2 linked regions of the Macaca mulatta genome follow. The protein of the gene in region 2 purifies or fractionates together with the protein of the main gene of each other region. This does not show direct contact. Links are inferred from orthologs where the notes say so. Each region holds a gene or a part of one and is shown on either strand. Other genes may lie near its edges.

Region 1 (3,567 bases), on a different chromosome or scaffold from region 2:
TTCTGTGAAGTACATCACCTTTTTATTACACTTTGAGGGAAAACAACACCCAAACAGACATTAAATTAAACTTTTCCAATAAAGTAGAAAGAAACTCAAGATTGCAACACCAAGTCTTACTAAATCTCCAAGCTGCTGGTTTGCCCTATGGATTTTGGACTTGCCAGCCCCCACAACTGCATGAGCCAGTTCCTTAAAATAAATCTTTCTCTTTCTCCAAGAAGATGTAAGTGGCTCTTTTGTTTAAAAGTTTGTTCATGAGTGCTGTTCCTCTCTTAAAGAAATAATTCTACTCTGTGATACTTTAATTAGTTGCTATTGACATTAATTATGTTACTGAATAATGAAGAGATGCCTAATCGTTCGGTTCAGCCTGGGAGTCAGGAACTAAAGTTCTAGTTTTCAAAGGGCATAGCAATTTATCTTCCTATAAAAATAGACACAAAAATGCCAACAGGTAGGTGGTTTCTTATAGGGGTGATGAAAATATTCTAAATTTAGATTATGGCAATGGTTACATAATTCTGTGACTATACTAAACCATTAAATAGTAGAGACTAAATGGGCAGGTTTTATGGTATGTGAATTACATCTTAAAGATGTTTTAGAAAAGGACACATAAGAGATTTGAATGCCTCGGGTTTTAATTACTTAAGGAGAAACTAAGAAAAAAATATTAATTTTAACATTTCATTATTCTTCTGTACTTACCCCAAATGTCAATTTGCATAACCCCTATTGAGGTATTAAATAATAGAAGTAAATGTTAACTTTATGCAAATCTTACAAACATCCAGACTTATAAGCAAAAGCAGGTGACGATCATATATACTTTACAAAGGGATTAGTCATGGGATGCCTTTAAATAAGGCTCATGTAACATAAACATACTGAAAACTAACGACAACTCGCTAATCACTTTTTAGAAACCCATTCAACATTCAGAGCAAGAATTATGAACACATTAAAAAGATTTCTCCCATCAGGAATGTAAGGACTGTTTACCTTGTGACAAGGAACCAAGCAATTTTACTGAAGTCTGGAGAAGGCCTCATATATGTCTTAATATGTGGCATGGCATTGCTGCGGCCAGAAGTCTCAGCTGACCATTTGCTAGTGACAGAAAAGACACAAGTCACTAATTACAAAATAAAACAAATTGATCTTAATCCTAATATTAGGAAACTGCATGAAAAGAAAAAGCCTATTATCTAAAAATTAACAGTGGCTACACGACTCTGTGACCTGTGATATTTTATACAACTGCGTTCAAATAACGCATGCCCATTTTAGAATTACAAACTTCCCACTTCTCACAAGAACTGTAACCTTTCAGCATATAGCCTTTCCATTTTTGCCATGAACATACATACACGCATACATATTATTTCTGGTTTTTTTTTTTTTTTTTTAGAGACAGAGTCTTGCTCTGTTGCCCAGGCTGGAGTGCAGTGGCGCAATCTTGGCTCACTGCAAGCTCCACCTCCTGGATTCATGCCATTCTCCTGCCGCAGCCTCCCGAGTAGCTGGGACTACAGGTGCCCGCCACCACGCCCAGCTAATTTTTTGTATTTTTAATGGAGACAGGGTTTCACCATGTTGGCCAGGATGGTCTCGATCTCCTGACCTCGTGATCTGCCCGCCTCGGCCTCCCAAAGTGCTGGGATTACAGGTGTGAGCTACGGCACCTGGCCCTTCTGTTGTGCTTTTAACAGCATGTGTGCATATGTCTCCTGCCTGAACTGTGAGCTCCTTAAAGGGAAGAATCATGCTCCCATGGAGTGTTACGATACAGGCTCAGCAAAAGCTTGTTGAATGAAACAAAATACAAAAAAGACAAAATACAAACAGTATATGAAAAAAATGAATGCTGAAAAGCGAGGGCAGAAACACTTTAGTCAAATGCTGACATTCACAAATCTGAGTTTGGTTTCTAAGTTTCCAATACTGTAGACTATGGTTCTATGGGAACCTATATAATGAAGCAACAATCCTTACTTATAGGAGGATGGTCCCCCCAGATTACCAGATCGTCTGTGAAAACAGAATCAGGCTTAGGTAGGTACCATCACTGTCTTCATTCAAGTGAATTTAATAATATAATACTGAAAGGAGTTCAATATAAAAAAATGTCCTCTGTAAGGAAAAACCTCTCAAGAAAGCATTAAAGAAAAGCTTCAGGATAACACACTGAATTACAGCTGAAAGCTATAATTCAAAGTAATTCTACTTTCATTTCTGGCTAACCAGCACAGCAAACACCTGTTGAGACAAGCATGAAACAGACTGGCCTTGCATATGCAGGCTGTGCAACTGCTGTGGCTGGAGAAGGATGAAGCACATTCCCTTCACTTGTCCACTCAGCATTTACTGAACTCTTGACAACATGCCAGATACTATCCTGTATCCTCAGGAAACAGCAGCATAGAATCTGCCCTCACCAAGCTTGCAGCTGCACATATGATGGTACAGACAGAATAATGATACTTTATATTTTGGAAAAATGAACTAAAATACTGCTTATGTAAATTCTAAACTACCCAGCATGATCTTTTATTTATCTTTCTTGGCATGCCAATATTTAAATAGAAACCTCACAGCAATAAATTTTCCTCTTTGGTATTAAGAACCTATTCCAAAAAAAAATTCAAAACCTTGTTTTAAATTATTTCTATCACTAACATATGTAGATGAAAGAATATAGCTATATTACATAAAGTTCCTTTTTAAAAAAAACAAACCAGTGACATAAATAACATTCTAATTCCTAAAGAAGCAATAGCAGCAGTCTAAACCAATTACTTACTGAAAATAGGAATGCAGCCAATTCTGTTTTTCAGCTGTCTGGATGCTATAGGGAAGAGAGCCCCCAGCTTTTAAAAGAAAAATAAAACAATAAAAATTATGAAATATAATTTGAGGAGCCCTCATTAAGAGGAAAATCTATAATAAACAGCAAGAAGGTAACAGGAAAAAAACTACTTCTATTACTTCATCTTACAGAACAGTTATTTGAAAGAATATCTCTATACTTGCATTAGATATGTTCTCTTAATGAGATTTCCTTCCTTCAGTTTTAACTTTATACAAATCTTATAAACATCCAGACTTATAAGCAAAAGTAAGTGATGATCATATACTTTACAAAGTATAGTCATGGGATGCCTTTAAATAAGGCTCATGTAACACAAACATAGTGAAAACTAATGACAACTTGCTAATCACTTTTTAGAAACCCATTCAACATTCAGAGCAGGAATTATGAACACATTAAAAAGATTTCTCCCATCAGGAATGTAAGGACTATTTACAATTCTTCTCCTGTGTCAAGAATAAAAGTAAATTACCTCATTGAGGACGAGAACTCACCAAGTAAAGCGGAACAGAGCTTTTTCCTGCAAAAGCTTCAACTGCAAATAACTAAAACCATTCAGTTTCAAAACTTCAACTGCAGATAACTAAAACCATTCAGTTTCAAAGCCAGTTATAAAACAGCTTTGTTAAAAATACCACGCTTTTCCCCATTAAAAGTACACTTTGAAAAGAAAAAATTATAATTGAATTACT
Region 2 (3,567 bases):
AAAGAGCCCTGACTTGGGTTAGTGAGGATAGAGCTCCCTGGAACAGTGATACTTCTTTTGCCCACAGTGATGTTGGTTGGGACAGTGAGCTCACTTGGTGAGTTGCTGTGTATCTTTTGTGTTTCCATGTCCCAGATGCTTCCCGTGAGCTAGACTAAGGCTTATATACCACAGGCTATTGGGCTGTCATTCATTAATTTGTTCAAGAATTATTTATCAGATGCTTCCCCATTGTTATAGCTAGTGGGGATATAGCAGTGGGAAAACTGGACAAAAGTTCTGGCCATCATGAAGTTTACATTCTGATATAAACACAGTCTTATGGGGACATCTGAGAGCCAAATTCCTGCTCTAATCGGGGTGGCATTTGGAACCTTACTCCTTAGCCCTTCTCCACTCCCAAGGCTACTGTGAACCTTTGGGGGTGTCTTCAGGAAAAAGCAGCTGGAACATCTGGCTCCGGTAGCTTGTGAGCAGATGGAATTCCTATCCTTGCTATCCTTTTCTTTCCTAGCCCAGATTCAGTTTTTCAGAGCCCCAGGGGGTTCAGGGGAACGTGTTGTGTGGCCCCTATGCTTACCTCAGCCTTGCCTTCCTGCTGGAGCACTGGGAACAAAGCAGGCCATTTGTTTCATATGTTCAAGAGGAGGGCTAAGCAGTGGCCTCATTGTGGAGCTTTAGTGCAGGTTCACATGTTCTGTGAAGCACTGTAAATCACTGAGGAGCTGCTTCTGGTGAGGTTGGTGTTAAATAGACACCATCTGTGACCCAGGAAGAAGTCTAAGCACACTTTTCCAGATTTAGTCCTTTCCTTAATTTTCCCTTACCCAGTGTTCACTCATCCTTTGCCTCTCCTGTGATTTGGGTTCTTAAAGGGCTAGGTTAGGGATTGAAGGGGAATGGCATGGATGTGCTGGCCTTTCCTGTTCCTGCTCTAAGCATCCTGGGTAGTGATGGCTGTGGGTTCAGGGCTCCCGCTCAGAGAAGACACTGCTCAAGTTTCCTTGTTGCACCTGAGGGGGTTCATTTCTACCTTTCTGTTTTCAAGCAGTCTGTTCTCCCCTAATCCAATCCCCAGCCTGACAGTCACACATGTTCCACAGTAGGCACTAATCTCTGCCCACCCACCCTCCTCCTCCTCCCCCAACAGGTTTAATCTCTCTGTTTCTTCCATTTGCCTCAAAAATTGTACCTTCTCTACAGCCCATAGAAAGTGACTCAGCATGGGCTGACCTCTTCCTGGGGCTGGACAGAAGTACTGAAACAGATGGCCTCTCCCTCTTGTCCAGGTGGCTCGCAAGGCCTAGCTATATGTTTTGCGCATTAGCTGGGCCTTCCACATGTTGTTCTGTATCCCATCTGGGGCCCAGGCTTTGCCCTATATGGCATGGTTTGGGGTCCCTGCTGCCATGTCATCCCTCACCAAAGCTCCCCTTCTGCTTTCAGGTAGCCCACTTTAAGGACTACATCCCCCAGGCTTTTCCTGGGGGACACAGCATGATCTTGGATTCTGAGGTGCTTCTGATTGACAACAAGACAGGCAGACCACTGCCCTTTGGGACTCTGGGAGTGCACAAGGTACTGCCTCAGGGCTATATGTGCACGAATGAATGAGTATGTACATGTGGATGCACGCTGCAGTCTGAAAAGGAAGGAAATATCACTTAGTGTGGGCCTTATTCTTCGCTTCTGACCTGTTTCTGGTTTGGTTTTTTGTCTTTTGCTTTTCTCCTCAAAAGGGACTGGTATTGGGAGCCAAGTTATAATTGGGTTGGTTTCCATTTAGCACTATCTGCTCAGTGCCCTTATGGCCCAGGGGCTTCAGAGCAGAAATAGGACTTTTTCATTCGGTGCCTTAGGGGGCCTCCAGAAGTGGACTGGTACTCCTTATTTTGTCATGCTCTGTGACTTTTGTTCTTTGTATACCTACTACCTCATTTTCCCTTACAGAAAGCAGCCTTCCAGGATGCTAATGTCTGCCTGTTTGTTTTTGATTGTATCTACTTTAATGATGTCAGCTTGATGGACAGGTGAGTTGGCTAGCATCTTTAAACCCAGAAACTGCCAGGAATCTGTTTTCATTTCCTCGATGAGGAAGATGGGGGCTTCAGGTTGGAAAGGAGGGTATGGGGAACCAGCTGGCACATACGTTTGCACTCAGGAGCTTGCCAAAGGCAATGGCAAGAGGGAGCTGAGAGGAAGCACAATTGCTACATGGTCCGCTCCCCGTTCAGTGTAAGAAAGAGCCCACATGTTGACTCCATCTCGTCTCTGAGAGCTTAAGTCACAGAAGAAACCCAAACCCCCAAAGAAGTTTCTCTACTAAAGCAAAATGGACTATTGCAGAGAAATAGACTGTGAGCATATGGGGTTTCAGTTTATTTCTCCAATGACACCCCTGGGGGCATAAGGCAGATGGTTTTCAGCTCAAACGTTTTGATTTCAGAAGAGACTGACAACAGGAAGCTCCTGATTATAGGGGAGGCTATGGGTGGGACCATCTTGGAGAGAATGAGCAGTCTTGACTTAGCTGCATCCATATGCTTGTGCCTGAGAAACCAATATCAGCCCTTTCCTCACTTAGAAATGTATCTCTACCCTGTTCCTCCTGCAGCAGCCACATCCTTGATCGGGGAAGGAGAAAGAAGTAGAGAGGGAAGGAATTGGTGGGGGTAGGATTTGGGGTTTGGGTCCCGAGGCTTGTCTCAGCCTGCCTACCCAGGGGTTGGCCTTGGGCCTGGGGCAAAGCAGGGTGCGGGGGATAAAAAATGAGAGTTGGAGTCACTTTTCAAGTGGTACCAGAATTTATACAATCTGGGCTAGAGGCCAGTTCTCCCTTGGCTCGCTTGATGAAGTAGAAATAGGAACTACAACTATGAACTGGCTCTATGCCACAGCTCACAATTGTCCATCTTCGGTCACGATGGAGCCCTTGCAGCCCTTGACAGCAGAGCTGTTACACATGAGGTCTTTGATCCATGGCAAACCCTTTCTTAAAGTAGCAGCTTTATCCTTGTGGCCCTTCCTTCCTCAGAATTCCTAATAAGGGTGGGAGGATCCCGGCCTAACCTCAGCTCTCCTGTTCTCCTCAGGCCTCTGTGTGAGCGGCGGAAGTTTCTTCATGACAACATGGTTGAAATTCCAAACCGGATCATGTTCTCAGAAATGAAGCGAGTCACAGTAAGTGAAGACCCTACGCTAGGCAGTGTCCTAGAAGTTTGAAAGCAGGGCAGAGAACTCCTTGGGTCAACTGCAACTGGAAGAATAAATCTTAATGTCTTATGCAGCCTCCTGATAATGTTTGCATTTGACTGTTGTATATGTTGTCTGCTAGTCTTCACCCAGAAGGGTAGGGCATGGAAATCCTTCCTAGGTAAGCCCCCTGTGTTTCAAAGCCACAGCAGCCCTCTCGTTGGAATGAGAAGCAACCTGCTTTCTAACCCTTTGTCCCTTATATTCAAGTAAGGGTGTTTCCATTGGGCACTTAAGTAGTGTTTGAAAAGGAACAACCCCCTCACCACCTTCTCCACTCTCACACCAACTTCAGCATCTCTCTTGTCCCTCAGA

Evidence for each region. The genes of interacting proteins can lie anywhere in the genome.
Region 1: the proteins of LIG3 (region 2) and TDP1 purify together in Homo sapiens (affinity purification with mass spectrometry; 4 studies listed by BioGRID and IntAct, with this or other methods). This does not show direct contact. The link is inferred for Macaca mulatta from reciprocal best matches to the Homo sapiens genes LIG3 and TDP1.

The regions. Positions count from the first base shown.
Region 1 is NC_133412.1:163,256,251-163,259,817, reverse strand, and holds part of TDP1 (tyrosyl-DNA phosphodiesterase 1), read right to left. Parts: intron 2,874-3,567; coding exon 2,807-2,873; intron 1,114-2,806; coding exon 1,006-1,113; intron 1-1,005. UniProt on the Homo sapiens protein: DNA repair enzyme that can remove a variety of covalent adducts from DNA through hydrolysis of a 3'-phosphodiester bond, giving rise to DNA with a free 3' phosphate.
Region 2 is NC_133421.1:44,515,557-44,519,123, forward strand, and holds part of LIG3 (DNA ligase 3), read left to right. Parts: intron 1-1,446; coding exon 1,447-1,578; intron 1,579-1,950; coding exon 1,951-2,030; intron 2,031-3,092; coding exon 3,093-3,180; intron 3,181-3,566; coding exon 3,567-3,567. UniProt on the Homo sapiens protein: Isoform 3 functions as a heterodimer with DNA-repair protein XRCC1 in the nucleus and can correct defective DNA strand-break repair and sister chromatid exchange following treatment with ionizing radiation and alkylating agents.